Linked DNA regions of Callithrix jacchus. The protein of the gene in region 1 interacts with the protein of each later gene in a biochemical or structural test. Links are inferred from orthologs where the notes say so. Each region holds a gene or a part of one and is shown on either strand. Other genes may lie near its edges.

Region 1 (5,373 bases):
TGTAATATAGGAAGAGGGGGGAAAACAAAAAATCTTTATATGGTAGCCATGTGAGACCATTACTTTTTGGTCTGATTAACTGTGAGTCTCATTTGGAAGGATGTAGCAGGGGATTGGTCATGTAAAGACAGAAAGATCCAGGGTAATTTAAGCAGGACTTTTTTTTTTTTTTTGAGACAGAGCCTTGCTCTGTCACCCAGCCTGGAGTGCAGTGGTGAGATCTCGGCTCACCGCAACCTCCGCCTCCTAGGTTCAGGTGATTCTCCTGCCTCCGGAGTAGCTGGTGTGATCTGCCCGCCTCCGCCACCGCCTCCCAAAGTGCTGGGATTACAGGCATGAGCCACCGCGCCCGGCCTTAAGCAGGATGTTTAACCTGGCTCTTGCAACTTCAGGTCAAGGGCAGTAAGGTCAGATGCTAAGTCTGTGAGACTCTCCTTGGTTTTGCCACATCCTCCTTTGCCCCTCCCACCACCTTTCCTGTAGCATTTTAATCAACAGGAGCCCTTGGATTTACCCAGTTAAAATATTCCTTAGTTTACCGTTTGCAGATGGTGGTGGCAGTAGTGGCAGAAACCCAGAGCTTCCCAAATTTGTTTATAATACACTTGCTCCTATCTCACCCCTCCTCGAGGTGGAAATACTTGTAATATCCATTACTACTGTTTTCAGAGGAGGTGGAATGTACTAGGGTCCAGCGACATAATTGTGAAATTTGCTTTCATTATTGTTGCTGCTTTAATGTCTTTCTGATACGATTGACCATTCTCATGCTATTCACTCAAGACAGATTTCTCAGGATTCGGATCCTTTTATTAAAAATTTTTTTTCCTGGAGAACTACACTTTAAACTTCATGAGTTTTTACTTGACGTTCCTTTCCAGGATAACGTCTGTAGGAAAAGCTGCACTAATAGTAATAATATTTGTTTTAGAAAGAAAATAACCTTTGAGTCAGACCTGAAACACAGGCCAACATTTCTTGATGACACTGTACACTGATGAACCAAGACGAGAAGCTCTCGAAAGCTCCAAACCGTAAGAAAGAACGATTCGTAAAAGTGTGGCACTACTAATGAAATTCTTCCCTTGAGAGTCAAAAATCCTTCCACAATCTCCCGGATGATGGTTCCCTTCCAATCCTCCCTCCCCGCCGCCCTAAAAATCTGCCCGAGGATGGGTTCCTTCCCCTGCCCAGCATTTCATCTCCTTTTCCACTGAAGACTCAGGTTGTGACTCTGTACTCAGGCCGCACCCCTGTTTCCTTTCATAGCTAGGGGGAGGGGAGGAATGTATTACAACTCATTTTTACAATGCACTGCAGTTTGAAAAGCGCTTGCACTTCCACCATATCCTATGAGCTTCGCGAGTGCCACGTGAGGAGGCATTCATTCATTCATTCATTCATCAAACATTTGCTCTGCCCGACCACACGTTATCCAGCGCTGAGTCTCACCCCACGCCACGGGAAGGGTGGGGCGCTCTCTCCCTGGGGCAGGTGCAGTGGATCAGGCCGTGGGGTAACTCCTCGATCAGTCCGGCTTTTCGAGGGCCTGTTTGGAGCCAAATGCCTCACCTTCGGGTGGTGCGCGCAGTTGCCTGAAGGCGCGGCCTGGGCCTCCTACTTCCTCCCAAAGGAGCAGTCCCACCTGCCCCGCAGGAAACCGCTACAGAGCAAGCTCTCCGGGCCGCCCTCGGGTCAGGGGTAAGATCGGGCGGCAGCTTAGGCTTGTCTCGGCTCCTCCCCTTCCTCTCTTCAGTTCTGACGCGGCCGTAGAGGCTGCAGCAGCGGCGGCGGCGGCTGCAAGTCCCGCGGCCCGAGGCGCACCCACCCGCTCGCCTATCCCCACTTCCTCTTCCCTTGGAGCGTCATCAGAGCGCGCCAGAGGCGCCCAGGGCGGGGTGGCTGGACTAGGAAAAAAGGCCCGCGGAGGAAGCCTCAGAGCGGAAAGAAGAGGGAGGGGGAGGAGAGCGGTTGCTAGGTGACTTGCGTCATCTGCAGGCGCCGCTCTCCTCCCGCCCCTCTCTCTCTAGAGTGAGGCGAGAGCCCCGCACAGAGCGAGGGAGACAGCGAACTGAGCTCCGGGCGCTGCCGCCGCCGCCGCCGCCGCCGCCGCCGAGAGTAAGAGCGAAGGAGCATCCGAGAGACTCAGCCCCTCTGCACTGGCCGCCGCTGAGACCTTCGCCCTCACCTGGGTCAGCGGGAGCCGCGGCCGCACACCTCTCCCCCCCTCACCTTCCCGGCCGGCAGCAGAGGCTGCACACGCCGGAGCCGGAGCCGGAGCCGGAGCCGGAGCCGGAGCCCGAGCCCGAGCCCGAGCCCGAGCCCGAGCCCGAGCCGGAGCCGGCGGCTTGGGGGGCAGGGAGGCGGCTACCGCGGGCCGGGACTGGGTAGCTGCTCCGCGGTGAGAGAACGCTGAGGAGGCGCCGGAGCTTCTGCCTCGTCCCGGGGCGTGGGGCGTGGGACCCCCAAGGTGTAGGGAGGGGGGTCCCAGCCGCAGCGACACATGCAGGAGCCGGGAGCGGGGGCGGCGCCGAGCGGAGCCGGCAGGGTCCCCCGCCTCGCCGCCGCCTCGGCCACCCGCCCGGGTCCGTAGCATCTTGCCCCGGAGTGTATGAGCCGGGGCCCCAACCAAGCTCTGCAACCACCCCCCCGGCCGGGGGGACTGGGACCCCGATGTGAAGCAGCGGCTGGGGCGGCGGAGAGAGCGGGACCGACGCCGCCGTCCTTTCCTCACCTTCCCCCTCCCCTCAGCCCCCTTCGGGGGTCTTCTCCCTTGGCCAGTCGCCGGCCCCCCGGCTCCTTGGCTGGACTCCGGGAGGAGTTCTTAGAGCCCCCCTCCCCCGCCCCAGCCCCCAGGGCGGCGGGGCCGGGGGGGATCCGGGGGGCCGGCCACAGCCTCCGCCCAGAGGAAACTTTATAAAAACAAAATCCAGAGCCTCCCAAACGTGACTGTCCTGGGAGAAGTGGCCCTGGACGGGCAGGAGTCGCAGCCTGAAAAGACCCAGGAAGAGGAAAAGAGGAGGTAAGCGGGGCCGCCGCCTCCTCGCCCCTGGCAGCACGGAAGAGACCCGAGTGGCCGCCTGGTTTAGCGACACGAGCCGCTTCTTCCTCAGGACCGCGCTGCCGCCTCAGTCCGAAGGAGGAAGGGAACCAGCCCACTTTCTCGGCGCCGCGGCTCTTCTCTAAAGTGTGAGTGGCCCCGTGAGAGGGAATTGAGGGGAGAAAGTGGGAGGATGCCGGCGCTTCCTCCTGGAGTTTTGCTGATGTTCCCAGGAGTGTTGGGAGTCACAAGAGGGTCTAGCTTTATTCACAGAAGGGAGAAGGTGTTAGGGAGGCCTGTATTTCGTAACTTTTTAACTCTGTACGAGTAATGCAAGTATGCAGGTTTCTCTTGGAGGAGTTCCTTCTTCAGAGTGAATACTCGCACCTTTCTGGCCAGTAATTGGCAAAGGGAAATTGAGGAAGCCAGAGGATGTGTGCGCACAGAGGCCATCTGTATCTGTAACCTTTTCCTGGTACTGTGGGTGTGTACAGTGTTCTTTTTGTTTCTGGGGTACTCTTATATAGGACCCCCGAAAGCAAAATTCCCTTTTTAAAAAAAAAAATGAAAAAACAGTCTTGGGAGATTTTCATTTAGTACCTATTGATACAGGAGTTAATCTTCTCAGTTCCTGGGTCTGTGTGTCAGGAGACACTGTAACAGATTTCACTTAGGAACTTGATTTCTTAGGAATCACAGCTTATCTGGGGAAGAGCATTTATCACATTAATCATTTTATAAAAGTGATTTTTTTCCCCTTCACCAAGTTTTTATTTTTTTTGGAGTAACATCTTAAATGACAACACTTTTTAATTTTGTTTGAGGTTTTGCTATTTTGTATTGTCTTTATTTCTGTATCAATTTAGGATACACTTTTGATATTTAATTCTTTCAGGAATGACTTTTTCCTTCCATTGTTTTAAAGTTGAAGTCTATAAAACCTTTGACTTGCATTTTAGTAATGTTCTCAAAGTACCAAATTAAAGTTTCATGGAAGTAATTAACATATCATATACAGTCCTTAAGGGTTAAACATAGAGTAGAATTTTATGTAAGCAGGCATAGACAGTACTATAGTGAGAATTGTGGTCCGTCTAGACAACTGTGTGGGCTCCTTCTGTCTGAAGCCACTGCTGAGAGTTGCTTTGTGGTAATGAATGTAAGCCTGGGGTTATCAGTCTATCTGAAGTTCTCCATTCAGGATCTTGATTAAATTTATTTAAAACTCAAACTTAACAATGTTTGGTCCTATTCTTTTAAAGTAATGAGTTCTGCAAGTTTATTAGCCTCTGTATTATGTGACAATTCATTTATAAATTCCATAGGCAATTTATTTATATATTCCATACCTGTGTCCATAAATTTTCAGGACACAGCCAGAGTTTGTGTTTCGAGAAATACCAGAACAAGCCTCAGTTCATCTTTCCTTACTTTTATAGTGTTTTATTATTTCTACCATCAGTTTCTCCAACTCTTGTCTTAGAATAATGTTTCTTATTTCTTTGACCACTTTTTCCTCCTCTGGAACTTCTCCCACTGTACTGTTTTTCTTTAGTTGCCTTACTATGTTTTGGTAAGGAACCTTAAATTCTGTCTTTTAAGTGTGTACTGACATGAAAATATTGAATAGTGGATGTAATGTTAGACTTAGAATCAGAGTCATGTATTTTGTTTTTCACAAAGATATGATAAAGAGAAATGTAGTCATGTAGAACCTGTATTTTGAGAAGGAGGGGAGGACAAACTAAGAAACAAACTGTAGTTTGAATGTAGGTTGCATTCTGTCAAAGTTGCTCACTAACTTTTGGACTACTTGTATTGCTTTAACTATAGATTGGTTAAAAATTTTGGTAATTTTATTTTATGTTATTTTGAGATGGAGTCTCTCTCTGTCACCCAGGCTCGAGTGCAGTGGTGCAGTCTTGGCTAACTGCAACCTCCACCTCCCAGGTTCAAGCGATTCTCCTGCCTCAGCGACCCCAGTAGCTGGAACTACAGGCGTACGCTACCATGTCTGGCTAGTGTTTTTGTATTTTTAGTGGAGATGGGGTTTCACCATGTCAGTCAGGCTGGTCTCAAACTCCTGACTTTTTTTTTGAGATGGTGTTTCGCTCTTGTTACCCAGGTTGGAGTACAATGGCGTGATCTCGGCTCACCGCAACCTCCGCCTCCTGGGTTCAGGCAATTCTCCTGCCTCAGCTTCCTGTGTAGCTGGGATTACAGGCACGCGCCACCATGCCAAGCTAATTTTTTGTATTTTTAATAGAGACGGGGTTTCAACATGTTGACCAGGATGGTCTCGATCTGTTGACCTCGTGATCCACCCGCCTTGG
Region 2 (4,828 bases), on another chromosome or scaffold:
GTGAAAAAGTTGATGCAAGTGACCCAAACCAGGCCTCGGTCTTCTTTTTAGTCTGTTTTTATTAGTACAAGCATTGTTAAGACAAGCCACGATTAAATGTATTTGCCAGCAGGTCAAGCTCCTGAATTGCAAGTATAAGCATTCTTATACTGACAAGGGTTGAAAGGCTATCCAGATATGGGTTTGACTACATCCCTGCAATAAGTAGTTGATTGCATCGTTATATGCAATTGTACTCTTTTATTAGGAGACTTTAACCCCATGAAAATGTGTTCCTTCCCTCCTATCTCTGTTTCAAGGACTTCCACCAGAGAAAAAAACAATAGTTCAAATGTCTTTAAATTTCCATTTATATTCTGTAAAAGGACATTTTAGTATTTCTATATGGAATATTTTCCTGGCACTTGTCATGTGTATTTTGAAAACTTTACATTGGAGTTTTTATTACATGCTTAATTCATTTGTGTTTATAAAAATTTCTACCTTGGGCTGCTTATGAAGGATCTTTCCTTTTATGCAATCAGTTTGTCTCTATGCAAAAACCCCAGGCCAAAACAGCCACTTATTTCATAGATAAATACATAAGATGTCTTTTCTTTACAAGCAGTTTCTCAAAAAGCCCTGGAATCTACCACACTGTCATCGGATTTTAATAGGTACTGTTTATCACTGGGATATCAAGCAATGCTGCCTAACATGCATACAAAATGTCAGCAACCATATTCCTCTTCGGGCTCCATCTCAGCACTGACCTTTGTTCAAAGGCTTTTACTTTTTAATGCAGCAGTTAGAGATAACTACTTCATTTATCAAAACTCAATTTCCATAGTAACATCTAGCCTGGGGAGATTCAAGTCCTCATACTAATCCAACAACCCATTCAAAGAACTGTTGAATACTTTGGTTTCCATAGCAATGATGGAATAATACATTTTGCTAGGTCATTGCTTTTATTAGCAAACTTATTCTCTGAACTTTAGGTAAGGCTGTATTTATTGAGGGGAAAAAAACACAATCGCTTTATGTAAGTTCATTTCTTTAGGGTTGCTCTTTTAAGAAAATCACAAATAGTAACCATCTATATATTTGAAAATATTTGGAGTATTTGGGGGGCCTTCAAAGTATGCCACCTTGTTTCATCTTAAAATGGGTTCTGATGTAGTTTAAAAATTTAAAAGCTCTTAAAATTTCTGGCCGGGTGTGCAGTGGCTCATGCCTATAATGCCAGGAGGGGAGGCAGGTGGATCACAATGCTAGGAGATCAAGACCATCCTGGCCAACATGGTGAAACCCCATCTCTACCAAAAATACAAAAATTAGCTGAGTGTGGTAGTGGGCTGTAATCCCAGCTACTGGGGAGGTTGAGGCAGAAGAATGGCTTAAACCCGGGAGGTGGATGTTGCAGTTGAGCGCCACTGCACTCCAGCCCGGTGACAGAGTAAGACTCCATCTCAAAAAAAAAAAAAGTGATTGCTATAGATTTAACAAAGCAAAAACAAAAGTAGAGGGGTTAAACTTAAAGCCACATATAAACAAGAATAAAATATAAGCTAGAATAAAGATGAAGTCTCTCAAACATGCCAAGTTTGGGCTGGGGCTTGTAACCCATTTCTGACCACTTGATTTTAATACTCTGCAATTTCATCCCTACCTTTCATCAAGCACAGAAAACATACTAAACACAGATATTTTAACCTAGAGGTGAAACTAAAGATAACGTTTTCAGCGATTATGCAGTACATGCTAAATGGGAAAGTTGTTTAGAGTTTAAAATGGCTTTCTCAAAGCAAAATTATTTGCTATGGAAGAAAATGAGATTTTTTTTTTCTTTCCTTCAAAACACTGCCATGGGCCAGGCATGGTGGCTCACGCCTGTAATTTCAGCAATTTGGGAGGCTGAGGCAGGCAGATCACCTGAAGTCAGGAGTTCAAGACCAGCCTGGCCAACATGGTGAAACCGTGTCTTAAAAAAACAAAAAACAATAAACACTGCCATTATTAGTTTAAAAATCCATTAGTAAACATCGTTGTTTACATTTTTGGGTAATCAATTCTATGAGTGGTGACAGGGCAAGAAGGCCTTAGTGAGGGAACATCACTGGCTTTCCTGGAACCAGATTTTTCATGGAACTGAATCTGAGCCAAGCCCATGCTGAAAAGGTAGGCTATTAAAAAAAAAAAGTTTACAGAAGAAAGAAGAGATCAAACACGTGTTGGCTTTTAAAAGGATGAATACCACTTACACTATTTACACAACTCACAGAATTAACAAGAAAATTACATACCAGTGTGAGTCCTCAGGTGAGCTTTTAAATGAGAAGACTTTGTATAAACTTTTGTGCAACCTGAAATAAAGGAGAACAGTGTGTCATTTTGGAGATCCTTTTGAAATCTTTACATTTGATGATTCAGTGTTTAAAATCTGGCTTTAAAGAAGAAATCTCTCATGGTAGATGAGATTATTTGAAGCTTCAGTTTTAAAAGTTTTAAAGAGCCCTCCCCCCATTACCTTATTAAAAGCATAAAATGATTTGTTTTATGTATCACTTTAACAGGAAAGAATACAGATAACCAAGCCAAATGGAAAATGTGTCTTAATAATCCAGTAGGTACTGTACTTCAGTAATTTAAGAGTTACTATATGTTTTTAAAAAGTTTTTAATGGCTCTAGAGCTGACAGTGCTAAGCCATTATCCAAGATGACTCTAATTTTCTATACTCCCACACTTCGTTTTTTTTCATTTAGCACATCATGCCATATCATGTATCAGAGTCAATAAATCTTGCAATGTATTAATTATAAACTAGCTTTTCCCAGTAACTTGTAGATATATTCCATGTACTGTCATCAATTTATACTTTGAGCCACGTATCTCATTCAAAACTGAGCATATGCTCACATGCCATCAAAGCCATTCTTAAATCTATCCTGTAGACAGTCTTGTACCTCCATCAGGCTAGCTGGCTACAACCTCCACTTCATTATTAATCCTTATTTTCCCCTACCCTACTTGATCTCTTTCTGGGGCATTTAATTTAGAATTAAAACCTGCAATTTATTCGATTGCCATTTTAAAGTAACTCTGGCCTAACTCTAAATGATATATATTAGAAATTAAAATCTCTTTTAATATTAAAGACAAAAAAGTCCAAGGGAACTTTTTCCAGAATATTCTAGCCAAGTTTTTGGTACATAAAATAAGTGACAACTAACTTGTTTACATACCAAAGAAAAGCAGAGATGGATATTAAAAAAAAAAAGTAGGTAATTTTTTTACTGTCAAGTACAACTTAGCTATGTAAATTTAAAGCCATGAGGTTGAAAAGGATGCATGCGTGTGTGCGCGCACGCACGCGCGCGCACACACACACACACTCACTCACACTCTCTCTCCCCACCCATCTACTGTCTCTTCAACCAGGTAGAGTACATACCAGGGTAATCGCAGTAGTGAATGCGTCGTTTCTCCAAATCAGGGTTACTCCTTCTATTGTATCTGACAGGTTGGATGTTTTGTGAGTTAACTGGCAGGGTGGTGGGTAAATTTGGATTGTGAATTGCCAGTTTAGAAGCAATTGTAGCAGCATAGGATGGAGGTGGGGTTAAATTCTGGAGCATCTCTGCTTGTCTATCTGGACTTCCAGGCTCTGAGCTTGGTGGTGACGGGGGAAAGTAAGTGGCCTGTTGTGGAAGAAACTGACTTGGCATTGTGTATGTGCAAGGGGGCATGGCCTGGAACTGTTTCACTGCAGTCTGCGGAACAGCAGAGGTGTGTGTGTTAAGGCCTGCCATGGCAGCTGACATAGAAACATTAAGAGTGTCCATTGCTGCTGTCTGGTTTGTAGAACTGGGCATATCTAGATCCGGTGTATTCAGTAGCTGGTACAGGTGGCCCTGCTGGGGAGGGACAGAAAGATGAAGATCTGGTGTAGGAAGTTCTTGTTTGATGAAAATATTGTTCACCTCTGGAGCTGCGGTCTGGTGTGAGCTGAATATACTGGTGAACTCAGGGAGGGCCTGGGTTGGGGCCGGAGGAGGGGCAGTCGTTTCACTCTGGTGGCTGAAAATGGCAACAGGTTCTGTCTTGATGTGTGTGACGCAGGGTCTCTGGGATTTGTAGAGGCCAGTTCTCAGGTGAGTGATGTCAGGGAGGAACACGTTCATGTTGATACTGTAAGGTAACCCTTCAGTGTCAGTGAAGAACTGGTCTACGACTGAGGCACTGTCTCGTCTATACTTTTTATGCTCTGGAATTATAGGAACTGGAGGAAGCTGAGGTGTCAGATACTTCTCCATTTCACATCTTGTCTAAAAAAGAGAAGAGATACAAACATGCATAATCCACCTGATGCACAGTCTCAGGAAGGACAATCGGCGCCTATTAAAATTCTCCCAATCCCTGTGTGAGGTATTAGGGCAAACTTCTCCGTGTTGCTTAAAAACATATCAGGCTTATTTAATCAATTATGTAATATAATTGGTTGACCAAAACCTTATGAAACTCTGTGTAACTGGTAAAACTGCTCCCTCAATCACCTCAGAAGTGAAAGACGCAAATCAAGAAAAAAAAGAAAGCAAACTGAAAACATTCCTTTCTGATGCAATAACAAGGTATCACCCCTGTACAAGCAGGATTCCCTGCCCCATTACACAGTTAAGTTTGCAATTAGAGTACAGTACAGTATTGAAACGTTGCCAAACTGCTTCAATTCTGTTTAAGTCATAAACATTAAAAAGTTTTTCTTAAAAAAGAGAAAGTGCAAATCTTTAAATTATTGCAAAGGTTTCTTTGCTTGGCTAGATACTTCCAAAGTATCAAATACTAAA

What was found. The genes of interacting proteins can lie anywhere in the genome.
Region 2: the proteins of FBXW7 (region 1) and KLF5 form a complex in vitro, tested with the Homo sapiens proteins (2 studies listed by BioGRID, with this or other methods). The link is inferred for Callithrix jacchus from reciprocal best matches to the Homo sapiens genes FBXW7 and KLF5.

Annotation. Positions count from the first base shown.
Region 1 is NC_133504.1:44,161,254-44,166,626, forward strand, and holds the start of FBXW7 (F-box/WD repeat-containing protein 7), read left to right. Parts: upstream 1-2,028; 5' UTR 2,029-3,022; exon of another isoform or gene 3,023-3,113; 5' UTR 3,114-3,189; intron 3,190-5,373. UniProt on the Homo sapiens protein: Substrate recognition component of a SCF (SKP1-CUL1-F-box protein) E3 ubiquitin-protein ligase complex which mediates the ubiquitination and subsequent proteasomal degradation of target proteins.
Region 2 is NC_133502.1:42,204,092-42,208,919, forward strand, and holds part of KLF5 (Krueppel-like factor 5), read right to left. Parts: intron 4,310-4,828; coding exon 3,436-4,309; intron 2,346-3,435; coding exon 2,286-2,345; intron 1-2,285. UniProt on the Homo sapiens protein: Transcription factor that binds to GC box promoter elements. Activates the transcription of these genes.